Oryctolagus cuniculus: one gene and its partners. The protein of the gene in region 1 purifies or fractionates together with the protein of each later gene. This does not show direct contact. Links are inferred from orthologs where the notes say so. Each region holds a gene or a part of one and is shown in the gene's direction. Other genes may lie near its edges. The genes, in order: CSNK2A2, DEK, CCNL1, PIP4K2A, NIFK, GPATCH2 and ZMYND8.

Region 1 (4,265 bases):
TCTTCCATCTACTGGTTCACTCCCCAAATGGCCATAAAGGTCAGGGCTGGCCTAGGCGAAGCCAGGTCTCCCATGTGCATTCCAGGGGCCCAGTGACTTGGGGGCCACCTTCTGCTGCTTTCCCAGGCTCATTAGCAAGGAACTGGATTGGAAGTGGAGTAGCTGGGACTCAAACTGGTGCCCAAACGAGAAGCCAGTGTTACAGGTGGTGGCTTAACCTTCCACACTGCAATGCTTGCCCTGGGTCTTTTTTTCTTAAAGATTTAGTTTATCTGAAAGGCAGAGTCACAGACAGGAGGAGATGGAGGGAAGGAGGGGGAGAGAGAGAGAGAGAGAGAGAGAGAGAGAGAGAGAGAGGCAGCCAGGACCCCAACCAGAGTTCATGCGGGATGCCCAGGCGGCAGGGTAATCTACAATGCTGAACTCCATCAAGGGCCTTATCCAGGAAGCAGCATGAAAAAGGATGGGAGTCAGAGCTGGCTGGCTGGGTGAGGGGCCGCTAAGAGTGGGGCAGAAGGGGGAGCCAGCCACAAGGAAGACCCAGAAGATGCAGGAGAGAAGAGAGTTCAGGGCTAGAAGGCACAAAACAGGCCAGACTGGCCACCCCAGCTTAACCAAGTGACCGAAGTGGACGTTCAGAGAAGGCTCTGGAAGAGAACGTGGGGGACGGTGTAGGAGAGGGGTTTTGTGGGGAAGACTTGGGATGAAGGAGCATGGGGTCTCAGGACAAGGAGTCTGCGAGTGACAGAGCAGGGTCCACAGCGGGGAAAAGGGATTAAAACACACACACACACACACACACACACACACACACACACACACACGAGGGGAGGGGACATCTTGAGGTGGGGGAGGTTCTGCGGTTGAAGAGTGCGTCACTGGGGAAGAGCGGTTGGGTAACAGGGCTATCAAGACCGGGTACTGCGGGAGGTCTTGGGGTGGGTAAGGTCTGGATGACCAGAGGTGACGGTCTTGGGGTGGGCGTCTCGGGGTCAGTCCTCAAGGGCTCAAGGGCAGCCGACGGCAGGCGGGGTGGCCCTGCGGGAGAGACCCGGCCAGCCCCAGGATGCGGAGAGCCCGACCGGCGCGCCGGGGCGGGGGGCGGGGCCGGCACCGCCCCGCGGGTCCCCCCACGCTGCAGGGGGCGCTGTGAGCCTGGGCGGCCCCGGGCTGGGCGGCGGCCGCTCCTAGTGAGCGCGGCCCCTTTTCCGGGTTTCCTCCGCCTCCTCCTCCTCCTCCTCCTTCTTCGCCGCTGCCCCTTTCCCGGCCGGTGGCTGCCGCTGCCGGTGCCGTCGCCGCCGCCGTCGCCGCAGCCGCCGCCGCCGCCTGGGGGCCGCGAGCCGAGCGGAGGCCGCCGCGGAGCGCGAGCGCCGCCCGCCCCGCCGCCCCGCCGGCTGCTCCAGGGCCGGGCCGGCTCGGCCGGCGCCCCCCGCGCCCCCAGCCCGCCCGCCCCCGCGGGCCCGGCCTGGCGCGGCCGCCCGCCGCCGCGCTCCTCCTCCTCCTCCGGCGCCCCGCGGCCCGCCGCCTCCTTCGCCCGCCGCCCCGCGCCCCCCGCCGCGCCGCCGCCGCCGCCCTCTGCGCCCCGCGGCGCCCCCCGGTCCCGCCCGCCATGCCCGGCCCGGCCGCGGGCAGCAGGGCCCGGGTCTACGCCGAAGTGAACAGCCTGAGGAGCCGCGATTACTGGGACTACGAGGCTCACGTCCCGAGCTGGGGGTAAAGCCGCCGCCGCCGCCGCCCCCCGCCGGGGCCTCTCACCCCCACCCCCGCCGGGCCGCCCCCCGGCGCAAACCGCACTCGGCCCCCGCGATCTGCCTCCCGCAGGCCGCTCGCCGGGGCAGGGCTGGGCTGGGCGGCAGAGGCCCCCACCTCGCACATGTCCTCCTCTTCCTCTTCCCTCACCCGCGGCCGTTCCTCCCCCGCCCCCAGCTTTGTGCACCCCTCTTGCCCCTTCCCTCCGGCGGGGGGGGGGGGGGACCAGGGCCTAGCGCGGAAGGGAGGCAGCAGCCGCCCCTCAGGCTGGGGGTTTCTCTCGGGGTGGGGAGTCAACAGCTGTCTTCTATGAAAATGCGCTGCTTTTTTAGTTTTCTGACACGAGGCGGGGTGGGGGGGATTTTTTCGAAAGATGTGCAGATTCTCAGAGCTGGCGCTGGCTACCTTCGGGGTGTGAAATAGGGGGCAGGTGCTGTGGAACCGCGGGCAGGGCGGAGTGCTCCCAGGGTCTGCGAGATGGATGATGGACTCAGAGCGTCTACCCCCAAGTTACAAGGGACCAGTTAGGTTGGGAGCCCTGCAGAGCAGCAGGAGCCTGGTGTGTGTTGTAGCTTTCATATAGGGACTGAGTTGCAGCATGGATTATAGACACTTCCAAGCGCTTGGTTCGTGGAAGTGGCCGGCCGGGGCGTATCGTGGGCATAGGCTCGGCGGACCCCAAGGCCCAGCATTTATGTGTGTCTTTTGCCTCTCACAGTAATCAAGATGATTACCAGCTGGTTCGAAAACTTGGTCGGGGAAAGTATAGCGAAGTATTTGAGGCCATTAACATCACCAACAATGAGAGAGTGGTTGTAAAAATTCTGAAGGTGAGTCTCCTATAAGTGGTTTGTAACTTTTTCCCCCACAGGCCAAAAGGACGTGAGTTACCCGAGCCTCGTTTCTAGAACGAGCTGTGCCGGCTCTTGCGTTATGTCTCTTCTGTCCAGGACGCCCGGATCCCACCCCGTTTTCCTTGGACTTAAGAAAACACGCAGACCGGCCTTAAATCTAAGCAGAACGGATCAGGAACACCCTTGTTCTAAAATGTAAATTAGAGGTTCCCAAAGCAAAAATCCCAAAAGGGCCCCATTTGTTACAAAATAAATAAATATTCAGAGGGAAGAAAAGCCTTTTCATGGAGATTCCATGGATCCGAGGGCTCTTTGAGCGCTGTGTTTGTTAGTCCACAAAGAAAGTTGGAGAAAATTGGAGCCAAGGGGAAGGAAACTCCTCGGGGTGATAACCACTTGTTTCTCCTCTGACAGTGAAGTTTCAGGTGGGACAGCTGAGGGGCGCAGGGAGTGCTGGGAGCCCTGGAGCTGCTTATCAGCTAGTAAAACTGGAGTTAGAAGGCACTTTTAATCACTCAAGCTGTTGGAACAAAACTGTCTGATGTCTGCTTTCGCAATCTTAAGTTTGATGATAGGCCTTCTGTTATCTCTTGAGTGAAGACGTAATGAGCCTGAAGAGTTGGCTTCAGGTAACTGTGTGGCTTTAATAATGTTTTACTGGGTGTCCTGCAAAGTTGTTCTTAGAAGCTGTCATGGGTCTTCATTATCGCCAGATCCCTGAACGTGTGTTTGGAGAGGGTCTGTGGCGGGGGCTGTGGGGCTCAGAAGCTGCCTGTGCATGTCAGGCTGTGCGGGGAGGCCCTGTCCTCTCAGGCCGGGCTCAGGCTTTCTGGGAGCCGCCTCTCAGAACCGTGCCCAGCAGCCTCGCTCAGTGCTGTCCTAGCCGGTGATGGAGGAGCAGGATTCTGGTAGAGAGAAAGCGGCAGAGGCCGCTGTGCCGTCAGACGCTGGGCACATGAAGTGAGGGACGGGTGTTAGGGATTTGCAGACTGGCGCCCCCTCCCCTGAATATGAGCCACCAGTGAAGTCCCAGGGCCTCCCCCCACCCCAACAAGCATAAATATGTGAAGAAATGGTGTTCCTTCAAGGCAGTCACCTGGGGAGGCCATGTAATTCCTCTGTGTACATAAGCAAAATGCTTTACTGCAGGCTGCTTTGACTTGAAGCAGAGCTGAAGTTGGAATTAGAAATAGCCGTATTCCCCAGCTGTCTGTCTGGAAGAATGAGTGCTGACTCTGAGGCAGTTCCAGAAAAATGTCTAAACTTTGGTGCAACAGCAGCATTGTTAGAGTAAGTGCCATTTCCTGTGTCCTCTTTGAACGGCGCAGCGTTCAGGTGTGTGTGTGAATGCCTGTCTGTCCAGGAGAGCATCGCGTTGCTCCTGGGTCATCCTTGCACAGCACTTCCTGGTGACTAGAGAGTTTTTCCTGTTCTCTGAAGCGTGCTGGGATGTTTTAGGGAACTCAATATGAAGACTGCCACAGGTGGTTTTTACAAAGGAGAGGCCCAGGCACAAAGAAACTCAGCCAGCTCACCACCAGCACTGCTGCTCCCTGCTTTTCCCTCTCAGCTTTCTTCGGCGCTGGATTGCGGGATCTTCATGTTGCGCCCAGAGTAAGTTCCAGTGTTCTGGAATGAGCTCCGCAGGCCCCTCTGGTGTCC
Region 2 (4,226 bases), on another chromosome or scaffold:
AAGTGGGAATGAACTTGGCCTCATGGAGGAGCATCCAGGGAGGCTTGTGTGGCTGAAACAAAGTGTCAGATTGTCAGAAAGATTTTCGATTTGATTCTGAGTATGATGAACAGCCATTAGAGAATTTTAAACAAGAGAGTGCCCAATCTGTTCTCTTTTTTAAAAGATCACCTTGGCTGCTGTGCGGGAGTGGAGAGGCAGCAGGCCCCAGAAGCAAACAAAAGAAGAGAGGGGTAGAAAGAGCTGGTGCTGTGGTGCAACAGGTTAATGCCCTGGCCTGCAAGTGCCTGTATCCCATCCGGTCACTGGTTTGAGTCCTGGCTGTTTCACTTTTTTTTTTTTTTTTTTAAGATTTATTTATTTATTTGAAAGAATGACAGAGAGGCAGAGAGAGGGAGAGAGAGAGAGATTATTTTCCATCCACTGGTTCACACCCCAAATGGCCACAAAGGCTGGAGCTGGACCAATTTTGCTGGAGCAGCTGGGACTTGAACCAGTGCAAGCACTGCAGGAGGCAGCTTTATGGGCTCCGCCACAGCACGGGCCCCTGCTCCACTTCTGATCCAGCTCTCTGCTGCGGCCTGGGAAAGCAGAAGATGGCCCAAGTCCTTGGGCCCCTGCACCCCTGTGGGAGACCCGGAAGAGGCTCCTGGCTTCGGATCAGCTCAGCTCCTGCCGTTTCAGCCACTGGGGGTTGTGAACCAGCTAATGGAAGACCTCTCTCTCTGCCTCCCAGAACTCTTTCAACTAAATAAATAAATCTTATAAAAAAATGACAGGATTTCTTATGTTTTGGTTAGGGGCACAAAAAGGTACAGAGAAGATCCAAAGCATATGTCTAAGAGTCCATTCCAGGCAAATGTAATTAAAATGAGAGAGAGAGAGAGGGAGAGAGACTACTTGGTCTGCATTTACTGGTGTATAAATATGTGGATTTATTTACGCCCCTGGCGGTGTGAACCTTAAGGGCGTTCTCGCTCGCGGCATCTTACGAGCGATGAGGTCCCTCCGTGGCGAGTCTTCCCCAGCACGAGCTCTGGGACACAAGTAGCCCCCTCCACCCCTGTCCCACACGTCGGCAGCGACTCCGGGGGGCTCCCAAGGGTCCTCCCCTCAGCCGCCCCCTCCCGGCCCAGGGCCGCTCCGCGTCCTTTCCGGGAACGACCCGCCGAGACAATAAACACGCAGGCCCCCTAGCGTCCTCCCGTTCCCGCCGGCTCGCCGCCCGTCGCCGCAGCCGCGGCCGCGGCGGGCCGGCCCTCGGGTGACAGCGCCAGGAGCTCGCCCTCGCCCGCGGCCGGAGCCCCCTCGCGCCCCGCCCCGGCTTCCCGCGGAGGCGCCCGCGCCGCCCCGCCCCGCCCCGCCCCGCCGCCGCGCGCCCGCCAACTCCGGCTCGCCGCCCTGATTGGCCGCCGCATTCCCGCTCTCCTTCCCGAACCGCCATTTTGAAAGTCTTGTTGATTCGGGGAAGCGGAGCGGGCGGCGCGAGCGTCACGCCAGACCGCGGCCCGCACGCCTTCGCCTCACTGTGGGCCTCCGGAGCCTCCCGGAGCCTCCTTGTAGCTCGCGCGCCAGGCCCGCGGCGGCCGGGACCCCGCGGTGAGGGCCGCGGCGGGGGACGGGAGGCCGAGGCCGACGGGGGAGGGACGCGGCCATCGGGACGGCGGCCTGGGGCGGGGGAGGGGACGCGGGGCGGGTGGCGGGCGGCTCGGGCCGGAGGCGGCGCAGGCCGCGCGGCGGGCGGGCGGGCTGCTCGGGTTCCCGCCTCGGGGAGTCCCCGGACGGCGGGCGGGAAGTCGCCCCCGGGCACGGAGCGCCGCGGTCCCGGCCGCGAAAGGAGACCCCACCCCCGGGCTGGCGGTGGCCGCCCGGTCCTCGCGGCTGGAGCCAGAGGACCGAGACGGCCGACCTGTGCCCGCCCGCAGGTCCTCAGTATGTCTTCGTCGGCTCCCGCTGCGGAGGGAGAGGGCACCACCGCCCAGCCCGCGTCCGAGAAGGAGCCCGACATGCCCGGCCCGAGAGAGGAGAGCGAGGAGGAGGACGAAGACGACGAAGAGGAGGATGAAGAGGAGGAGAAAGGTGGCTATGGCTTTTGCAGACCCAAGTGCTGGTTTCCGTTTTTGGCCCCCTTCCCTAGGAAGCAGTTGTCTTTGCTGTTCTGGACCTCGGGAACGATGAACTGGAGTGATTTTTTTTTTCCAGCCAGGGTGCATGCGAAGTCGGTTTTTGTGTGGAGCAGCGGCGTAGTTGGCTTTAGGACTTGGCGGGTTTTGACACGTTGGAGTCGTGTAAATGGTTCTCAGTGGTTAGGCGCGCGTTTGGACGTGCGTAGCGCACTTCTCGGCCGCTCGGCTCCTCGCGCGGTTTGACAAGTTTGCGAGGCTCCGGGTCGGTGTCTTTGCGCTCCCCTTTCTGAGGACTCTTGCAGTTTGGCTGATGGCGTTGCACGTGTGTCTTTGGCCTGTTGCGCTTACTCCGAGGTCTCGTTCGGCCGCTCGTTTAGACTTGAGAAGCTATGCATGTTGGTCCTGGAAGAAAGATGTTAAACTCTTGTTTATTGCTGAACTTGCAGCTCGGTTCCTTTGTGGCCAGCAGCGAAAGCTGTTGCTACTCGAGAAAGTTAAACAAGAAACGAGTGCACTCTGAAAGGAAGTTAAAAATGAACCCAGAGCTGTCTCGGTTTTGGTGCTGAGTCTGCAGCCCCGGGGAGCGATGTTAACCACGGCGTCACTGGAGGCCCAGAGGAAGGAATTGTGTCCGCTTATCCAAGGTGCTGGCTGCCGTGCCTCTTGCTGATGTTGCCAGCTGTAGAAATCCGAGTTCTTTGCTGTTAGCCCGGTGTAGGGTGTGTTTTATTTTTTTATTATTATTTTTTTTTAATGGCTGCAGCTCACCCCAACTTGGGAAGAGGTTGTGTTCTCTTCCCAAAGCCAGGTTTAACTGTCAGGGTCTTTGTAAACATAGTCCGTGGAACATTGAGTGGTAGGCCTTTTGTCTGTTTACAGTGGTGTGTGCCCTGAGAAAGGAGGCTGTTCATATTTAAGTACAGCACGGCTTTTAATTATAACTTAGTGTGCCCTGTTGCTTAATAGTACAAATTATAAAGGAAATGCAAATTGGTTGCAGTATCTTGCTACTAGCTACTCTCTTAGCACTTTAATTTTTTTCTTTTCGGTTGGGGGACCAGAGCTGGGATGGTGAATTTTGTCAGGAAGAAAATTGGAGAAGGCAGATAAATACGAGTGGCCAACACAGAAGAGCTTGAGGCACTGGGGGTAGTTCACAGAACTCTGTGTTCTGTTGTAGGTGAATAAATTGTGCTGTATTTAAACAGGATTTTGTTAAGTTTATCCCGTAACCATTTTACAGTTATGTTTCATCTCATTTGAGATGTTTGTGGGACAACTAGAATTGTGAAAGTTTTATTATGCTTAGCCATGGGTGTTTAGTACTGAGGCATCTTGGAAGCAAGGCAGTGAAATTAATGAAGTCTGTTAAAGCTCAAATTGGCAGTGGTTGTGTGTGGAGTGGGAGGTTTGAGAGAAATGACTAGCAAAAGATGACTCGTGGGTTTCTTTGTCAATTTTGTGGCTGGTATTACTGTTTTCTGCAACAAAATTCTTTCAGGTGGGCAAGTCTAGAGATGATTTCTGTTTGGGATGTGTTGAATTTGGGTGCCTGTAGGACATGAGGTGGAGCTGTTCAGGTGGCCCGCAGGCATATATTAGCTGATAGGAATCTAAGAGTGAAGCTCTGCCTGGAGGTAGACTAGGAAGTCCTTGGTTCCTGGATGACAATCAGAAGGAAGTGGATGGTTTAAATCCTAGAGAGGATGATGAGTGATAAATGGGGTTGCTTGTTCTTTTGTAGAGATTGCCCTTCATTCTGTACACCATTTGCAGTATACACCTGTTGGTATTTTCTCCTGACATTGTTTTTGTGCAAATCCTTACAACGCCAAAAATTACCTGTCCTTCAAAGCCAGCACCAGTGTTTTGATCCTTTTTCACTAGTCTACAAATAACATCAAATCAGAACTTTCATTTGTTTCTTACGGTGTTTTTTCATCTTTACATTAGAGTATAATATCTGTCTCATTTTCCAAGTTGATGAGATCTTTTTCAAAAGTGTCTTAATTACCCCTTCCTAATTTCAAATGCTTCTTTGTACAAAACAGGCATCTTCTTATGAATGAGAGGATCTTCAGCAGTATGCCTATGGGAGTC
Region 3 (2,899 bases), on another chromosome or scaffold:
GCATGTGCATGCATCTACCTTGCAGCTAGAGCACTTCAGGTAAGTGTAGATAGCCTATTTAGTTCTATAGGACAAATCACAGGTATTATCAGTGGTTCCAATAAAAACCAGGGAAAACTCAAAGCATTCTATTTTTGTGGTTTAGATTCCACTGCCAACTCGTCCCCATTGGTTTCTTCTTTTTGGTACTACGGAAGAGGAGATCCAAGAAATTTGCATAGAAACGCTTCGGCTTTATACCAGAAAAAAGGTAATTTCTGTTTGCTCAAGTTTGTGCTGATAGCCTTGGTGCCAAGAATCTAAATTACTGCAGAGGAGAAATAATAATTCATTGTCCTCCAACAGCCAAACTATGAATTGTTGGAAAAAGAAGTTGAAAAAAGAAAAGTAGCTTTACAAGAAGCCAAACTGAAAGCAAAAGGATTAAACCCTGATGGAACTCCAGCCCTTTCAACCCTTGGTGGATTTTCTCCAGCTTCTAAACCATGTAAGATACATTGGGACTTAATGAATTGGGGACAATGAAAGTTTTAGCATTTATGTATAGAAGTAAACATGTCACTCTCGTTGTCTTTTAAGCATCCCCAAGAGAAATAAAAGCTGAAGAAAAGTCACCAATTTCTGTTAATGTGAAGACAGTCAAAAAAGAACCTGAGGATAGACAACAGGCTTCCAAAAGCCCTTACAATGGGTGAGTGTATGTAGATTAGAAAACTAGCCTGAAGAATCTTGTGCATACTTTGTAACACTGAAGAATATAACTGAAATATTTATTTATTTTTTTTGAAGGGTAAGAAAAGACAGCAAAAGAAGTAGAAATAGCAGAAGTGCAAGTCGATCAAGGTCAAGAACACGATCACGGTCTAGATCGCACACTCCACGAAGACAGTAAGTCAATGTTTTCTTAGGAAAAGCAGTTCTTAAAAGCAGGTTGCATCAGCGATCTCTTAGTCTAGAATTGGATTTGAAATGATCTTGTGAGGCCGAGGGGGGTAGGGTGATGTGTACTTTCTGTTTTATGGTATTTTACCTTAATGGCATTTTAATTTCTCATGTTTGTTGAAGAAATAAGGGCTGCCCACAAAATGCTATGGAATTACCTTGTTTATATTGTAAAAACATTGCCTTTCTGTTCCGTTTCAGATAGGAAGTTTCTTATAAGTAACCAATAATCAAGTTAACCATAGCTGAAGAATCAGTAGTTAGCTTTTGTAATTACGTCGCTAGGTCCTGTGGCTCTTCCTCTTCAGGGGTTCTTTTGAACATGTGAGAATCAGTAAAAAGACTAGTTCTTTGCAATTATTATTTCCCTCCTTGGAATATAGACATTGGATACATTTGTTTAAGATTCTCTATTTTAGGCTTGGGTGGGAGAAGTGAGGGGTGGGGAGGTTTAGAAAAATTACCATTTTGGCTTGTAACTAATGGAGTTGGTAGTTTTGTTTAGAATCTTTTAGAAGCAGCCATCAATATAATATGTTGCCCATAGAGACTGAATCTAAACCTCCAATTTTTATTATCTAAGTTACAATAATAGGCGGAGTCGATCTGGAACATACAGCTCGAGATCAAGAAGCAGGTCCCGCAGTCACAGTGAAAGCCCTCGAAGACATCATAATCATGGTTCTCCTCACCTTAAGGCCAAGCATACCAGAGATGATTTAAAAAGTTCAAATAGACATGGTCACAAAAGGAAAAAATCTCGTTCTCGATCTCAGAGCAAGTCTCGGGATCACTCAGATGCTGCCAAGAAACACAGGCATGAAAGGGGACATCATAGGGACAGGCGGGAAAGGTCTCGCTCCTTTGAGAGATCTCATAAAGGCAAGCACCATGGTAGCAGTCGCTCAGGACATGGCAGGCACAGGCGTTGACTTTTGCTTCCTTTGAGCCTGCATCAGTTCCTGGCTTTGGCTATCTACAGCGTGATGTATGGACTCATCATTAAAAGCAAACCAATTAGGATTTGATTTTTTTAAAACTCTCTAGGTCTCTAGAAACACTGAGGACATTTCTTTTGGAAAGAACTATGTTAAATTTTTTTGCACATTAAAATGCCCTAGCAGTATCTAAATTGAAAACCATGGTCAGGTTCAATTGTACTTTATTATAGTTGTGTATTGTTTATTGCTACAAGAACTGGAGCGTGAATTCTGTAAAAATGTATCTTATTTTTATACAGATAAAATTGCAGACACTGTTCTATTTAAGTGGTTATTTGTTTAAATGATGGTGAATACTTTCTTAACACTGGTTTGTCTGCATGTGTAAAGATTTTTACAAGGAAATAAAATACAAATCTTGTTTTTCTAAACTGCTTCAAATATCTTATTTAAATAAATTATTAAAAAGCAAAAGTTTAATAGTAAAATTGGCTGTCCTGATTTTCTGATGAACTTTTCTGTACTCCATTAGATGTAGTTTGAGATGATTAAAAATGTGATTTTTATCTGTATTGTGAGCTATTTGTAAGTCTTCACTGTGTTTATGGATGAAGCAAATGGCAGTGGCCCAGCAATATAATGTTAAATGCTACAACACTGAAGTACTGTTTCCAAAGGGAAGTGTCCTGAACAGATTTATGCACTGTGACAGGAAGAGACAGATCTTCCATCTGCTGATTGACTCCCCAGATTATCAAAATGACCCTAGGCCAGGCTGAAGCCAGGAGCCTAGAAGTACATCCACGTCTCCCAAGTACTTGGGCTGTCATCCACTGCTTTCCCAGGTGCATTAGCAGAGAATTGTATCAGAAGTGAAGTAGCCAGGACTTGAACTGGCACTCCAGTATGGGATGTGGCTATCCCAAGTGGTATCAAGGAAATGAAAAAAGTGGTATCCAGTGAAGACAAGGGTACTTCAGAATTAAAGGATTGTTGCAAGAAGTTTCAAAATCTAT
Region 4 (4,178 bases), on another chromosome or scaffold:
TTAACCACTAAAAGTGGCGATGGTTGATGCCGGGGGAGCAGGTATCATTTTTGATGGTAGTAAAAAGAAAGTGGAAAAGAACTAGAGAACTCTGGGCCGTCCCTCTGAAGAGCACATGAGGGTGATCCCAGGATCTGCCGCCCCACCCCACGGAAGCTCCTTAAGGAATCCCTCATCCTTTGTCTCCCAAACAGAACCAAGCAGGGTACACCAAGGGCACAGAGCACAGCCCTGTATTGGGGCAGGGTAAAACTGATAATTGGCGACAATGTCACCCCTGAGCTGAGTGAGAGCGAGTACCTGGCATGCGATGAGATGACTGGGGAAGTTACAAAACAGCAGGCTTTTAGATGTACTTGGTAGCCTCAGAGGTGGGCCAGGCACTCCTAGCATAACAGCTAAACGTAGGTACCCATGGAGATGGCGACCAGGTTTCCACGGAGGAAGGTGAGGATACTGTGGCGGGGGGGGGGGCGGGGGGGGCGGGTAGGGATGGTGAGGAACACGCTGCGCTGACGGACTTCAAGAAGGAGGTGCAATTTAGGGGCCGTGTTTCTGGCTAAACCAAGGGCTCTGGAGAGCGATCCAGGGTCCTGCCTGGGGAGCAGCGAGGGCAGGGAATGACAGGGCAGAGTATTAGGTGCGATTCTCCCTCTCGAATGACTCAGGGAGTCTGGGAAAGAGCAAACCCAAAGGGCCAAAAAGGTGAAGGCGCATACGGATTAAGTTCGGTTCAGGGGCACTTTTCAAGGTGGACGTCCACGTGCCAAGATGCTCCGACTTGGCGCTTGGGGAGCCTGGCTCCGCATGCGGCGTTCAGGGTGCACCAGCTCTCCGGGACTCCCGGAACCGTTAAGCAGCGGCTCCCTGAGCCTCCTCGCTTCCCTGGCTCAGGCCTCTGGGGGCTCCCCGCCACCTCCCCGCTCCCAGCGCCTCCCTTCCTCTCCGCTCTCTGGAGAGCAGAGGGGATGCCCAGCGGAGTGCTCACGCTCCCAGCAGCCAACGCTCACCCCGCGGCCTCTTCCGCGTGGCCTGGAGCTGCCTCCCCGAGCTCTCCTGCGCACCGGGGCAGCCGGGCCGCGGGAAGCAGGAGCCGCAGCCGGAGCCCGAGCCGGAGCGCGCAGCCTAACGGTCCGGCGGCCGCGCCCCGCGCCCCGCCTGGCGGCGCCGCAGCTGCTGCCCGCCCGCCCCCTGCGTCATGACGCCGGCGCCCAACGCGGAAGCCGCTCGCGGCGCGCCTGGTCCAGCCGCGGGCTGAGCGCGGAGCCGCGGCGGGCGCGGGAGCCGGGCCGGGGCGCGAGCCGGGCACAGCCTCCCGCCGCAGCTGGGCCGAGCGGGCGGAGCGAGCCGAGTGGGGCCGAGTGCGCCGGCGGCGGCGGCGGCGGCAGGCGGAAGCGGGCACGGCGCGCCGGGGCCGCCGCCGAGGGGATGCGGCTGCCTCCCCGGGCGGGTGTGTAGAGGGCGGGTCCCCGGCCTCGGGAGCGCGGCGGTGGAGGGGACGGAGGCGGCGGCCATGGCGACCCCCGGAAACCTGGGGTCTTCTGTGCTGGCGAGCAAGACCAAGACCAAGAAGAAGCACTTCGTAGCGCAGAAAGTGAAGCTGTTCCGGGCCAGCGACCCGCTGCTCAGCGTCCTGATGTGGGGGGTAAACCACTCGGTAAGGGCTCGGCTGCGGCGCGCGGTCCTCTTCCTCCTCGTTCCCCTCCTCCTCCGGCCGCGGCTGCTGCGGGGCGGGCAGCCGGAACCTGCTGGGTCTCACCCTCCACTTCGGCGCCCCCGGCCCCGGGGCGCGCGCTCTCCCCTCCCGACCACTTGCGCCCCCTTTGGACCTTCGGACCCGGAGCGGCACGAGGGGTCCGGTCTGCGTTTGAGCCCTGCGGCCGGTGCTGGTGCTGCCCGCGGTCCGCTCGCCCGCCCGCAGGGAGGTCCCCGCAGCTTGGGAAGTGGGAAGTTTGTGCGGGGCACGGCTCCGCCTCGCCTGTCAGCGGCTGCTGGGGGCCGAGTCCAGGCCACCGCTCCGGTACCCCCCGCCGCCAGGCAGGTGTACCTGTTCCAGGTTGGGGGCGTCCGGAACCTCCTGCGGGCGGTCGGGAGAGCACGATTTGGGGCAACAGCTTAAGAGCTTAGGTCTCCCCCCCTCCTCTTTAAAGGAAGTATTATTAGACACGAGGAGGCCTTTTGGCAAATTAGAAGCCAGTGCAAGTGTTGCACTGGTGTTCAGCATCTTGGGCCGCTCGTCTCCCGCATCGCGGGCGGAGGAGCCATTGGCGGGGAGTGCGCTCCGCTCACCTCCTCCTGCAGCCGGCCCTAAGCCGCCGCCTGCGGAGGGCGGTCCGGGCGGGGCCCGCTGGAGGGGTCCCGGCGGGCGCGGACGGGGGGTCTTGAGCTGACAGCCTCTGCGCAGGGGCTGTGTTTAAAAGGCTGCAGGAGAACGCCTGGGGAAGCTTTGCGTACGGCCACGGGCGGTGGAAGATGCGCCCCCGCGGGCTATGCGGTTTGCGGTGCGAGGGTCCGAAACAGCCTCCTGCAGATCTTACCGCGAGGAACTCCTGCAGTTTTAATCAACTCAGATGGGGATCAGGAAATGTGATAGGAGCTGTTGGCAGAGCTGCGGAAGTAGAAATAAGACAGCGAATTTTGACCGTGACCTTGCCCACTGCAGTCAGTGGGCATCCGAGGAAAGAGGCAAACTTGCTTTTCGTGCTTTTGATGTCCACGGGTGTCATTGTGTCCTTTTCACCGTGACGGAGAAGGCAGAAAACCACGTTGGTGTTTGAGAGAGCACTCTCGGTTTCACGAAGTTGTTTAAGATGTCTCAGAAGCATCATTGTCCGATTTCTATTCCCCGATGGTGTTGGGGGAAAAGGTGAAACAGTAGCAGGGCTGATTGCGTGGAGTGGCTGTTTTTAACAAAGTTGAGAAATAATTGTTTCTACCAGCTTAATGTGTGATCCGCTTAAGTTCATTTTAACTGAAATACACTTTAAAAAAAAAAAAAAAAAAACAAAACTATCAGAGTTGTAAGATGTTGCAACAGCATACATGCATGGCTGCACCAAAAACTCCCCCAAATTTTATGGGGAAAATGAAACGAATGGTTTCCTATGTAATAAATCTGTAATTTAGAGCTATGTCTAATTTTGTTAAACACTTTTTAAAAAAAATTATGTTGTTAGTTTCTGGGATAGAAACCTGTAATTTACAGAATAGGATGTATGTCTCCTTGTGCTTACTCATATTTATGGGTGTTTTTATCTCTCAGAGTTCTGGTGTTTTGGCCAGGAGATTGTTTGTTTCAAGGTTTAATCTAGTAAAGTAGTGTCAACAGTGTGCTGCCGAAAAAGTGTGCTCCCCAGGAATCAGTCTGAATTCCAGTTTACTTTAGAAAATCTTGCAACTGTGCATGTGTTACTGGGACTGCTTATGTGTTACTGGATTTTATGGTTTGCTACATTTGTTTTATAGTTTCTTGCATTGGAAATATTTCAAAACTACTTAAGGCTTATAATGTATCATCTGTAGGTAGTAAGTTTGGTGTTACTTTTGTCTTCATGAGAAGTGAGTATACATAGCCAGCGGAGTGAGGTTTCCAGGTTTCCATAGGATACAAGCCTATTATTTATATTGGGCACAGGCAGTGCCAGCCACAGTGGGAAAGATTGCTAAAACCCCTCTCATATGTATGTCCAAATATCAGAGATATCTGCCTTCGTATTAAAAGCATCTTTTCCATGAGTTTCTTTTTCAAAATGTCTATTTGTTTTAAATATACTGGTTTTTTGGGGAAGAATACCAGAGTGTATGTAAGGATGAAATTTAAACTCTTAGATACCATGTACTTCTTGTTGATTTAATTTTAGGAGATAATATCTGATAGTAGATACATGTTTTATATGACTTGTGCCCCAAAGTTTACAGTTTAATGTGAGAATAAGGATGTCAGCAATATTAAGAATGAGCAAAAATAGTGCTGGATGTGAATGGGACCCTTGAGAAAGTATAGCTGAAAAGGAATAGATAATTTAAATGTCTTTTCCTACATCTCTAATGTGATCAGAATTAAGATTTGTCATGAATATAGTAGTTCCGTACTTTGAACAGTCATGTGAACTTATCACTGGATATTAGGAAATAACGACAGATTTGGAGCACTAAAGAGAAACTACACATTTATTTCA
Region 5 (4,318 bases), on another chromosome or scaffold:
TTAACCCAGTCCCTTATTATTGGCTTTTTTGGTTGGTTTTTGTGATGAACGCTCTTATCAGGGTTTATGATCCTTTCCTTTTGGACTTAAGATTAATTTATTGATTGATGTGAAAGGTAAGAGCTCCTCCACCTGCTGATCCATTCCCCCAAAATGCCCACAACAGACAAGACTGTTCCAGGTCAAAGCCAGGACCCCCAAACTCCATCTGTGTCTCCCATGTGGGTGGCAGGGATCCAAACCCTTGGGCCATCATCTGCCTTCCTTAGGTGCATTAGCAGGGAGCTGGTTAGGAAACACAGTATGGAGGACTCAACACTCCAATATGGAATACAAGCAAGATCCTTTTCCTTCATAGATCCTGTTTTTGTCTACTTGTGAGACAGAGAGTTCCCTCACATATGCTGATTCATTCCCCCAGATGCCTGCAATTCCTCCATCCCACCCCAGGCTTGAACTGCAACTTTGGGCCAGGAAACCAATCCCGGTCTCCCACGCAGGTGGATAGAATCGGTTCAAATGAGCCAGTCCCCCTGCCTCCCAGGGTCTCCTTTAGCAGGAAGATGTAGTCTGGAACAGAGGCCAGTACTGAAACCAGGCACTCTGAGGCGAGACGTGGGGGTCTTGTCCGCAAGACCAAGCTAACCAACCTGCCCAATAGGCCTTATTTTTAAGGTTCTAGATACTTCTCTCAGGTCACTCGAGAATTTCCTTCTCCCCTGCCTGAAAGGGGTTAGGGGCCAGAGGAAGAGGGTACCAGGATGCATGCCCTACCCCCGGAAAAGGAGGAGCTGCGCGGGCCACGGAGCAGGGGGGGGGGGGACTGGGGGTGCAGCTGGGCTGGAAGGCCCAGGGGCGTATTCTGCAGGGCCTCCGCCCACGGACCCCTCAGATACCCGGGTTGATAGAAAAAAGTCTGAGCGGGAGGCGGCGCTGTGGAGAGGCCCGGGTAAAGCCCCGACTGCAGTACTGGCATCCCATATGGGCGCTGGTTCAAGTCCCAGCTGCTCCACTTCTGATCTAGCTCTGTTACGGCCTGGGAAAGCAGAAGATGGCCCAAAAGTTTGGGGCCCTGCACCTGTGAGTGAGACCTGGAAGAAGTTCCTGGCTCCTGGCTTCAGATCAGCACAGCTCCATTTGTTGCGGCCAATTGGAGAGTGAGCCAGCGGATGGAAGACCTCTCTCTCCCTCTCTCTCTGCCTCTCCATCTCTCTGTGTGTAACTCAAATAAATAAATCTTGAAAAGAAAAGAAAAGAAAAGAAAGAAAGAAAGAAAAGAAAAGAGAAAAGAAAAGAAAAGGAAAGAAAAGAAAAGAAAAGAAAAGAAAAGAAAAGAAAAGAAAAGAAAAGAAAAGAAAAGAAAAGAAAAGAAAAGAAAAGAAAAGAAAAGAAAAGAAAGAGAAAACAGGCTGAGATGGTCAAGAAAGCAGCAACGGCGCAGGGGCCCCTTTGCGCCCAAGGCCACGCCCCCACGGGCACGCCCCCGCGCCGCGACCTTTGCCCAGCTCTCACCACGCCCCTTCCGCCTTACTTCCGCACCGAAGGCTCGGCATTTCCGGGAGCGCCGCGTGGGTCAGCCTGCGCACCTCCGGCATGGCGGACTTCTCCAGACCCGCGGCCCCCATTCTGTCTCTCAACCCGGAGAAAGACGCACAGTTTCGAAAGGAGGTGGAGCAAGTCCGCAAGCGCGTCACCCAGGTGAGCGACCTCTGCCTCCTCTGGGAGAGGAGGGATCCGAGGCGGAAAGTTCGGTGCTGTAGGCGTGGGTTCCAGGTCTTCACGTGGCGACGCGCGAGGAGGCGGAGACCGAGCCAGGGAACAGCGCTACCGGGCCGCTTAGGGACCCAGTTAGCGCCATTGCTTCCGATTTGCTGGTGCTGATGGGGGGCCCCAGGGATTTGGGGGTTCTTGGGAGACATTGCTCACCAGCTAGGTCCCCTGACGTTGAATTTGTGTTTTCTTGGGTCTTCAGCATTAAATCCAATGTGGGAAACTTAAAAGTGTTGCTTAGGGAAGGTACGGGGGCGATGACGCTGAGGGTCGGTGGGCGTCTCAAGAACTGTCGGATTAGACGCAGGTAGCCGGCGATCTGCCTGCAAGTTGAAGGGTGCCGGTGTGCAAAGTTCTCGTGTCCTTGCTTATCTACGCTGGCCCACGTGGGCTGCTTGGCCGCTGTCCTTGTGGGGAGAAGCCTACGATTAAGCGGAAACAGTATGCTCTTGGACCCAGCGCTAGGGGTTTTGCAAGTTTTGTTGCCATGCAATTGTCTTATTAAAGAGGATTTATCGGGTTTGTATGTCTTCAGAAAAAAAAGCAAGAAACCCTTACTCCTGGAGTAATCTATGTGGGCCACCTACCTCCAACACTCTATGAAACCCAGATTCAAGAGTATTTCTCCCAGTTTGGCACTGTTACAAGATTCCGACTGTCCAGAAGCAAAAGGGTAAGTCAGAATCCCCTGTTGTGTCTTCCGAACGCGTCATCCTTGACAGTTTTATGCAAAGTGCTCGCATTCTGCTCCTTAGACTTCCCTCTGGAAAGGGGGCTGGCTGAGGTTTTGAAACAAACAGCCTCTAGAGCAAAATTAGAATTTTAAATGTTTGTGTACCAGAAGTACTTGCCCCAAGTTCACAAGTTAAATTGGCAGTCCTGGCAAATGAATCATGTTCATTTACCAGGGGTAAATGAACTTCAGTTTGAGAACCAGATTCACACTTGTTTTAGCCTCTGTTAGAGACATCAGTAATAGCCAAGATTTATAGTGAAGGCAAAGGACTCTGGAGCTAGCATACTCATGCTGCAGTTTTGTAATCTGCAAAATGTGGGTAAAGTAGCATCAGCTTCCTATGAGTGTTCAGTTAGAGATTAAGCTGCTTCCTTAGGCATTTTGGAGTCTCCTAGAAGAAATTTTACTGACTACCCAGCTGTCTACCTCTCAGCTGTATCAAGTGCCAGCTTGATGATATTCTTGTTTCAGATCTTTCTTGTCTTGACCATAAGGAGAGTTTAGGCTCCTTGAAGACCTTTTTTGTTTTTCTTTTTTCTTTTTCTATTTTTAGTTGACTTTATACACATATGATTAACATAGAGTTCAACAAGTAATATGAAGAAGAGGGGGAAAAAATGTCCCATGAAGTATCACAGATCAGGGAGAACATATGGTAGTTGTCCCTTTGGGACTGGCTTATTGCACTAATTTACAAATGACCAGATTTTTTTTCTTTTTTTCATACGGACCACTGTGTAGTATTACATAGAGTACATATCCATAATTTCTTTATCCAGTCTTCAGTTGATGGGCATTGGGGTTGATTCCATGCCTTAGCTATTGTGAATTGAGCTGCAGTAAACATGGTGGTACAAATAACTCTTATTTGCTCATTTCATTTCCCTTGGGTAAATTCCCAGGAGTGGGATGGCTGGGTCATGTGGTACATCTATATTCAGATTTCTGAGGTGTTTCCAAATTGTTGTCCATAGTGGTTTTACTAGTTTACATTCCTACCAACAGTGGACTAGGACACCTTTTTTCCTATATACTCACCAGCACTTGTTGTTTGTTGATTTCTGTGTGAAAGGCATTCTAATTGGGGTGAGGTGAATCTTCATTGTGGTTTTGATTTGCATTTCCCTGACAGCTAATGATCCTGAACATTTTTTCTTGTGTCTGTTGGCCATTTGGATTTCCTCTTTTGAAAAATGTCTTTTGCCCATTTCTTAACTGGGTTGGTTGGTTTGTTGTGGTGGAGTTTTTTGATCTCTTTGTAGATTGTGGTTATTAATCCTTTTTATCAGTTGCATAGTTTGCAAATAATTTCTCCCATTCTTTCGGTTGCCTCTTCACTTCCCTGAGTGTTTCTTTGGCAATACAGAAGCTTCTCAATTTGATGTAATTTCATTTGTGAATTTTGGCTTTGATTGCCTGTGCCTCAGGGTGTCTTTTCCATGAACTCTTTGCCTGTGCCAGTGTCTTGCAGGGTTTCCCCAGTGTTCTTTAATTTGATGGTATCAGGTTGTAGATTTAGATCTTTAATCCATATTGAATGGTTTTTTGTGTAAGGTGTGAAGTAGGGGTTTTGCTTCATCCTTCTGCATGTCGAAATCCAGTTTTCCCATCACCATTTGTTGAAGAGACTGTCCTTGCTCCAGAGATTGCTTTTAGCTCCTTGGTCAAATATAAGCTGGTTGTAGATGCTTGGATTGATTTTGGTGTTTCTGTTCTGTTCATTTGTCTATCCCTTTGTTTTTGTACCAGTACCAAGCTGTTTTGATTGTAACTGCCTTGTAGTATGTCTTGAAATCTGGTATTGTGATGCCT
Region 6 (3,651 bases), on another chromosome or scaffold:
TTTAGTAAAGGGACAGGTTTAATTCTTAATTGGATTAATGTCATTTATTCACATCTGCTTATGATTGTTTACTTTCATATTCTATAGAGATCATGAAATTGAGCTAATACATATAAATACTTATTCCAAATGTTATCTTCATTTCTTAATAATACCTTACAGGACAATAGTAAGTTCAAAGGAAATAAACTATATATACGTGTGTGTATGTGTGTGTGTGTGTGTGTATGTTTGTGTGTATAGTTTAAAGTATAATTGTGTTACAAAATATATAAACTGAGAATATTTTACTCTTCCAGTGAGAGTAATGTAAATAATCATTCTTTTTTTGCTTATCTATAAACCATATTGTAGATAAATATGTATGTAACTATTTTAAAGTTTGTAGTCTTTTAGAAGTTGTGACTTTACTTATATATGCTAGAATCTGGCAACATACTTAAGTAAGCTTAACCACTTTGATAACATCCCTAAATTCTAATAAAAAAAAAGGCCTTTATTCCCAATATATTATAAATGTTGATACTGGTAATGACATGAAATGAAAAAACTTTTTAAAAAAATAATTTTTGACCAACTCTCAATCTCTGAAAAGCACTGAGTGGTTTAGAATGATGTACTAGCATTTATTGTGAGCTTACTGTGTTTCATAGTGCCAAGTGCTTTTCTTGCATTTAACTTGCTCTAAGTTCCTATTTAATTCTTTAAAAACCGTGAGATTCCCAATTTTTAAAGTAAGAAAACCTATGCTAATAGAGTTGACGTAAATTCTCCATTACTGCAAAACACTAGAGTTTTAATTTGTCTAACTGCATATTCAAGTTCTTCATGAACAGCGGTTTGATTTCTCTGTTAAGAACAAAGTTACAAGGCCTACATTGTGGCACAGTAGGTTAAGCCACTGCTTCTGACCAAGCATCTTGTGTGGTCATCGGTTGGAGTTCTGGCTGCCCCACTTCTGATCCAGCTCCCTGCTAAAGCACCTAAGAGAGCAGTGGAAGATAGCCCAAGTGGTTGGGCCCCTACCACCATGTGGGAGACCTAGATGGAATACCAGGCTCCTGGCTTTGGCCTGGTCCAGCCCTAACCATTGCGGCCATTTGGGGAATGAACCAGCAGATGGAAGATCTCTTTCTCTCTCTGTCTCTCCCTCTATCGCTCTGTAACTCTGCCTTTCAAATAAATAAATATCTTTTAAAAAAGAATAAAATTATCACATCAATAGTAAAATAGCTTCCTTTTTTCTTAATAATGTCTCAGTAGGAATTTAATCTAGGGTATTCAGTTTCAAGTTACTTTCTTTATTTTCTTGTGCTCAAATCTGATTTGTGATACTTTAAATATAACACAGTATAAGTATTAATATTAAGTTCTATGAATTCTACTTTTTATGAAATTAAGATTTTATTCCTCAGTTGAAATGTGCTATTGATTCTAGTTTTCTAAATGCTTTTGTCATTTCCTTTTCATTTAAAATACAACTATTTTTCATAAAATCATTTTTTCTATTGAATCTTTAGGTTTTTATTTTTTTAACTTTGCCCTTAAAAATGATTATAGTAAGAGAGTTTCAAGATAAGAAAACTTTGTTTAAAGAGAAAAAGTGTTTGGTAACTATGATGACTCTCTTAGAACCCAGAATTGGTGGTACCTTCTAAGAATCAAAAGAAAAGGGCTGATGCTGTGGCATAACAGGTTAAGAAGCTTCTACCTGCGACGCTGCCATTCCATATAAGCACCAGTTTAAGTGCTGGCTGTTCCACTTCTGATCTAGCTCCCTGCTAATGGGCCTGGGAAAGCAGCAGACAATGTTACAAGTGCTTGGGCCCCTTTAACTCACATTGGAGACCTAGATGGAGTTCTAAGTTCCAGGGTTCGGACTGGCCCAGCCCTAACTATTGCAGCCATTTAGGGAGTGAACTAGCAGTTAGAAGACTCTCTCTGCCTTTCTCTCTGTCTGTCTGTCTCTCTCTCTGTAACTCTACCATTCAAATAAATAAAATTAATTATTAAAAAAAATCACAGCAGGAAGACTTTAATGAATCTCAGATCATATTCAAAGTGCTAATTGTATATTATTTTGAAAAGCCTTCTGCCTTATTTTCCATTTATACAGCTCTTTATTTTCCTTTTTTTAAAAAATATTGATAATCACTAAAGACCACTTCATACTGGATTTTAAATTGACCTTTAAAATTGTCTCACGGTTATTCATGGATGTTCCCAAAAATCAAAATTAATGAATAGTGTTGTGTTTTAAAAACACCTCACTTACAATAGTTTGTTATATTTTCTTTATAAACTCTGTGTATTGTCATTTTTCATTTAAAATCAAGTTTTTCAAAGCTATTTCTTAATGAACTTAATTAGATTAATTTCATTTATTCACATCTGTTAATGACTATTTCCCCCTTTATACTCCATAGAAATCATGGAATTAAGCTAATTATATACCATTATCAGCCTTAAAGAACAGGTTCCACAGTTTTATACCTTTTAATTCCCAGTAGGAGATTAAGGCACATTTTCTTTTAATGTAGAATGGGTAGTACCTTAAATGGATTTCCCTATAGTTATTGCCAAAGGATTAACTTTGCATTTTAATTGGTTCTAAAATATAACATTTTGTGTTTTTGTTGATGGCAATGCTTATTGTAATATTAGAGAACATTTATTTCAGCTGTGGTATAGTGTAAAAAGCTTTCTTTATAGATAATATATATATATGTTTAACAGGTGATCTTGTATTCTATCATATATATGTAGTGTGTATATATATGTATACATGTATATATGTATGTATAAAATGTATATATACATATATACACTATATATATATAGTTGATAGAATACAATCCTGTATTCTAATATATAGTATATATATACATGTGTATGTATGTATAAAATATATATATACATATATACACTATATATATACTATATTATATATATATATAGTTGATAGAATACAGGATCACCAGTTGAATTTGAAATGTAGATAAATAAGACATAATCTTGTAGTATAAATGTGTCCCATGCAGTGTTTAGATATATTTATATTAAAAATATAGTACAAGACAACATACTCGCATTAAAAGTTAATCTTTTACCTGAAATCCAGATTTAACTGCCATCTTATATTTTTTATTATATAATAGCCCTAATTGTGTATTTGGGTGATAAGACTGAATTTTTAGTCCAGGGGCCTTCTGTCTTCACAGGTGATGATGAGCAGAGTGACTGGTTCTATGAAAAGGAGTCAGGGGGAGCATGTGGCATCACTGGAGTCATTCCCTGGTGGGAAAAGGAAGATCCTGCAGAACTAGATAAAAATTTACCAGATCCCGTCTTTGAAAGTATCTTAACTGGTTCTTTCCCCCTTATGTCGCATTCAAGCCGAAGAGGTAAGTAGCACTGTCTAATTAGTGGGTACAAAGGATTTTTGGTCAATCTAGGAAAGTTCATTGGAAGAGGAGAGGCTAAAATGGAAATTAAACATAAACTGGATATTAAACACAAACATGTGGGCACTAATTCAGCTATATTTATCATGCCTTCAAATGATGAGAAAATATTGAATTGCTTTTGTGCTAGGCCCATTGTGAAAATGTTGCAAAGATAGGAAAGTGAATTGAGAAAAAAAAGTTACCT
Region 7 (3,651 bases), on another chromosome or scaffold:
GGAAGGGCGGTGAGGGCAGGCGGGCAGAAGGGCCTGGCGAGAGCTATGCTGCCGGCGCGCCCTGTTCCGGCTTCAGAATCGGGGGGCTGGGCTTCCGTTTTGGGTCTGAGCTCCTAGCCATGAAGCGAGCTCGTGCGGTGCCCCACATAAAGGCGTCTCCGCTGGTGAGAACTGGAGTTCTTCCTTGCACTGCTGCGCAAGGCCGATGGTAATTCACGAGTCCGTCTGAGCAGGTCGCCAGGGTTTGGCTCCTGGAGAGCTGGCTTCAGGTCACCCCACAGAGTGTCCTCTCCGCCACCAGCTCTCGCTTCGGAGCTTATTAACGGGCGGGGCTGTGCTGGCCTTGGAGCTAGGAGAGCAGTGTGTGTGGCCAGGGAGGCCGTCTCAGCGTGCGGGGACAGGGCCTCCCGCAGGCTTCCTGCCCAGGCTCACCATCACATCAGCAAGTCCCATCCTTCCCCCAAGGGGGCGCTAGTTCTTTTTTTTTTTTTTTTTTAAAGTCTTTCCTCCATGTGCCAGAGACCAGTGACAGATTCTGGAATGATCAGGTCAATCTGATGGTGACCCATTGTGAGAGCCTAAGAAATGCACCCTTTTTGGGGCATTAAGTGTTTGGTTTTATATGCTCTGAATTTCTAGGGTAAAGTTCCTGTACCCTCTTTGTTTTTGTTTTCTTTTGTTTTGTTTTTGTTTGTTTTTTTTTTTGGGGGGGGGCTTGGTAAACTATCAGAATTCCCATTGAAGTTAATGTATTAAAATCTAAGTGATGACCCCACATGGTATTTCAAGCCTGACATCTTTTCAGATTGTACATTTTTTTAAAGATTTATTTATTTGAAAGGCAGAGCTACAGAGAGAAAGAGGGAGAGATTGAGATCTTCCACCTGCTGGGTCACTCTCCAGTTGCCACATTGGCCAGGGTTGGGCCAGGCCAAAACCAGGACCCAGGGGCTTCATCTGGGTCTTCCGCGTGGGTGCAGGGGCCCAGGGACTTGGGTCATCCTCTGCTGCTTTCCCAGGCCATTAGCAGAGAGCTGGATTGGAAGTGGAGCAGCCGGGGCTCAAACCGGCGCCCATATGGGATTCCAGTGCTGCAGGCGACAGTTTTACCCACTAGCTCACAACAGCTGGGGCTGGGCCAGGCTGAAGGCACGAGCCTGTTACTGAGTCCAGGTCCCCGATGTGGGTGGCAGGAACCCAAATACTTGAGCCATCACCTGCTGCCTGTCAGGGTGTGTGTTTGTAGGAAGCTGGATGGGAAATGGAGCAGGGACTTCGGCTGAGTCACTGGATGTAGGATGTGGGCGTGTTCACCACTGAGCCCTCTGCACTCTTTTTTTTTTTTTTTTAAAGAAGAAAACCAGCTGGAACTTTGTGTAAGTCAGGAGAGAAGTGACCTTTTTGTGGTCAGCAGTCGCAACGCATGTTTTGGTCTCATGGCTGAAAAGGGAGGCAGTGAAGGTGTCTCTGCAGGTTAGCAGCCCTGGCAGGCACTGTGTGGTGCCTGGCTCTTGGAGGCACCCAGCCTAACGCCTCTTGTGTACACGCAGGCAGGTGGGGACTGTGTCTACTATCTGGCAGGTCACCCAGAAGGACCCGAGGAGGCCCCCTTGTCCCAGACTCTTGCCCACCAGGTTGGCTGCACCTGCCTCTCTGGGGCAGCAGGTGGACCCTGGAAGCAGCCCCCAAGGCGCAGGAGTCAGCTTGTCTCTTTCCCTCGCTCCCCTTGGCTTCCTGAAACCCACAGCTGCCCGGGTCCTCCCGAGACGAATCCAACTCCAGTCTTGCCGGGTGGAGTAACTCTAAGAGGACGGGCATATTCCTCGCCGAAGGCGTCTGGTGTCACGGCCCGTGCGCGATCGGGGTGCTGGCCCGCATGTGTGTTGCCTGGGGGCCAGTTCACCTCATGTGGCCGAGACCTCTGCAGAGAGGACCGACCACTCAGTAAAGGAGCACCCTCGTGGCCACCTGCTCTGGCTCGCCCCTGCCTCCCAGCCAGTCCTCACCAAGTCCTCCCCTATCCCAGACGCGTCCCCCCCAGATCCTCACTCTGCCTGTGGAATCCCCCCAGCTCCTGCGAGGAGTCGCCCTCCGTCCGCCAGTGCCTGTCACCCCGAGTCGCTCTCGGTCACCGCTCTCAGGCCCTGCCTGATAATTCTCGACCTCAATGTGCAGTCCTTGAAGCAGAAGTCAGACTCACGTTAGACTTCAGCGTGCGCCCACTGCGCATTGGCAGAACCAGCTTTGCCGGGCTGCTGTGGAAAACCACAGCCAGCACCCAAGCCGTGCTCCTGACTTCTGGCGAGAACCCCACGGGTTCCTCTCGGGGCTGGGGGTCGAGGCTGTCCACACTACGCGGAGACTTTGACCTGGAGGGAGCCAGCAGAGACAGAGGGGCACCTTCCATGTGGGGCTGCTCAGCGTGGTTGGTGCCTGGCTGTTAGGCAGCTGTGGGTCCTTATTTTTATAATATTTCGTAAATTAACGAACTCACTTTTTTTTTAAAAGCTGTATTCCCTACAATATTGCTTTAAATACCTTTCTTTTTAAAAAAAATATTTTATTTATTTATTTAAGAGGTAGAGTTACAGAGAGAGATATATAGAAAGAGGTCTTCCATCTGCTGGTTCACTCCCCAAATGGCCGTAGTGGCCTGAGCTGTGCCAATCCAAAGCCGGGAGCCAGGAGCTTCTTCCAGGTCTCCCACTTGGGTGCAGGGGCCCAAGGACTTGGGCCATCCTCCACTGCTTTCCCAGGCCACAGCAGAGAGCTGGATAGGAAGAGCAGCCGGGACTCAAACCAGTGCCCATGTGGGATGCTGGCACCGCAGGCAGAGGCTTAGCCCACTATGCCACAGTGCCGGCCCCCATGGGTCCTTCAGGGTCCATGTTTGTAGGCCCCTCACCAAAGGGGCTGCTGCAGAGTTGATGTGGCGGGCTGCTTCTCAAGGTGCTTACAACACATTGCTCTTTTCTTTTTCTTTTTAAAGATTTATTTAATTTATTTGAAAGGCAGAGTTGGAAAGATTGATCTTCCATCCTCTGGTTTGCTCCAAAATTGGCCACAACGGCCAGGGCTGGTCCAGGCAGAAGCAAAGAGCCAGGGACTCCATCCAGGTCTCCCCCGTGGGTGGCAGGGGCCCAGGGACTGGAGCCAGTGCTGCTTTTCGGGTGCGTTAGCAGGGGGTTGGACCAGAAGCCGGGCAGCTGGGCAGCTGGGCCCATACTGATGTGGGATGGGTGCCGCGAGCAGGGCCCAGCCAGCCCCCTCTACACCGCGCTCTGACTTTGCCAGCCGTCCAGTGATTCCGTTCCCCCACCGCTTTGGCCCCGGGGGAGGGCGGTGAGAGTGTTCCTGCTTGCTTGCTTCCCCTGGAGCTCGCCGGTGTCACCGCCGGCTGCTGTCCCGTGGCCATTTACCTTTCTCCCCATGTGTCGGTCTCAGTTGTAGGGAAAGTGCCACCGTCTGCCGCGGCGGGCAGCCAGTCTCCCCCGGAAACGCCGGTGCTCACCCGCTCCTCCTCCCAAACTCCCGCGGCTGGTGTCACAGCCGCCACCAGCGCGACGTCCACGGTCACGGTCACGGCCCCGGCCACCGCCGCTGCAGGAAGCCCGGTGAAAAAGCAGAGGCCGCTTTTGCCGAAGGAGACTG

The links.
Region 2: the proteins of CSNK2A2 (region 1) and DEK purify together in Homo sapiens (affinity purification with mass spectrometry; 4 studies listed by BioGRID and IntAct, with this or other methods). This does not show direct contact. The link is inferred for Oryctolagus cuniculus from reciprocal best matches to the Homo sapiens genes CSNK2A2 and DEK.
Region 3: the proteins of CSNK2A2 (region 1) and CCNL1 purify together in Homo sapiens (affinity purification with mass spectrometry; 4 studies listed by BioGRID and IntAct, with this or other methods). This does not show direct contact. The link is inferred for Oryctolagus cuniculus from reciprocal best matches to the Homo sapiens genes CSNK2A2 and CCNL1.
Region 4: the proteins of CSNK2A2 (region 1) and PIP4K2A purify together in Homo sapiens (affinity purification with mass spectrometry; 3 studies listed by BioGRID and IntAct, with this or other methods). This does not show direct contact. The link is inferred for Oryctolagus cuniculus from reciprocal best matches to the Homo sapiens genes CSNK2A2 and PIP4K2A.
Region 5: the proteins of CSNK2A2 (region 1) and NIFK purify together in Homo sapiens (affinity purification with mass spectrometry; 3 studies listed by BioGRID and IntAct, with this or other methods). This does not show direct contact. The link is inferred for Oryctolagus cuniculus from reciprocal best matches to the Homo sapiens genes CSNK2A2 and NIFK.
Region 6: the proteins of CSNK2A2 (region 1) and GPATCH2 purify together in Homo sapiens (affinity purification with mass spectrometry; 6 studies listed by BioGRID and IntAct, counting the BioPlex papers as one, with this or other methods). This does not show direct contact. The link is inferred for Oryctolagus cuniculus from reciprocal best matches to the Homo sapiens genes CSNK2A2 and GPATCH2.
Region 7: the proteins of CSNK2A2 (region 1) and ZMYND8 purify together in Homo sapiens (affinity purification with mass spectrometry; 6 studies listed by BioGRID and IntAct, counting the BioPlex papers as one, with this or other methods). This does not show direct contact. The link is inferred for Oryctolagus cuniculus from reciprocal best matches to the Homo sapiens genes CSNK2A2 and ZMYND8.

Annotation. Positions count from the first base shown.
Region 1 is NC_091449.1:41,552,428-41,556,692, reverse strand, and holds the start of CSNK2A2 (casein kinase II subunit alpha'), read left to right. Parts: upstream 1-1,463; 5' UTR 1,464-1,609; coding exon 1,610-1,713; intron 1,714-2,467; coding exon 2,468-2,579; intron 2,580-4,265.
Region 2 is NC_091436.1:145,447,169-145,451,394, reverse strand, and holds the start of DEK (protein DEK), read left to right. Parts: upstream 1-1,411; 5' UTR 1,412-1,599; intron 1,600-1,925; 5' UTR 1,926-1,934; coding exon 1,935-2,079; intron 2,080-4,226. UniProt on the Homo sapiens protein: Involved in chromatin organization.
Region 3 is NC_091435.1:123,685,998-123,688,896, forward strand, and holds the end of CCNL1 (cyclin-L1), read left to right. Parts: coding exon 1-39; intron 40-145; coding exon 146-250; intron 251-345; coding exon 346-487; intron 488-579; coding exon 580-691; intron 692-789; coding exon 790-888; intron 889-1,525; coding exon 1,526-1,874; 3' UTR 1,875-2,314; downstream 2,315-2,899. UniProt on the Homo sapiens protein: Involved in pre-mRNA splicing. Functions in association with cyclin-dependent kinases (CDKs). Inhibited by the CDK-specific inhibitor CDKN1A/p21. May play a role in the regulation of RNA polymerase II (pol II).
Region 4 is NC_091444.1:48,947,065-48,951,242, reverse strand, and holds the start of PIP4K2A (phosphatidylinositol 5-phosphate 4-kinase type-2 alpha), read left to right. Parts: upstream 1-1,230; 5' UTR 1,231-1,513; coding exon 1,514-1,657; intron 1,658-4,178. UniProt on the Homo sapiens protein: Catalyzes the phosphorylation of phosphatidylinositol 5-phosphate (PtdIns5P) on the fourth hydroxyl of the myo-inositol ring, to form phosphatidylinositol 4,5-bisphosphate (PtdIns(4,5)P2). Has both ATP- and GTP-dependent kinase activities.
Region 5 is NC_091434.1:128,335,411-128,339,728, forward strand, and holds the start of NIFK (MKI67 FHA domain-interacting nucleolar phosphoprotein), read left to right. Parts: upstream 1-1,477; 5' UTR 1,478-1,593; coding exon 1,594-1,698; intron 1,699-2,305; coding exon 2,306-2,443; intron 2,444-4,318.
Region 6 is NC_091444.1:31,838,153-31,841,803, reverse strand, and holds part of GPATCH2 (G patch domain-containing protein 2), read left to right. Parts: intron 1-3,221; coding exon 3,222-3,404; intron 3,405-3,651. UniProt on the Homo sapiens protein: Enhances the ATPase activity of DHX15 in vitro.
Region 7 is NC_091442.1:12,513,244-12,516,894, forward strand, and holds part of ZMYND8 (MYND-type zinc finger-containing chromatin reader ZMYND8), read left to right. Parts: intron 1-3,444; coding exon 3,445-3,651. UniProt on the Homo sapiens protein: Chromatin reader that recognizes dual histone modifications such as histone H3.1 dimethylated at 'Lys-36' and histone H4 acetylated at 'Lys-16' (H3.1K36me2-H4K16ac) and histone H3 methylated at 'Lys-4' and histone H4 acetylated at 'Lys-14' (H3K4me1-H3K14ac).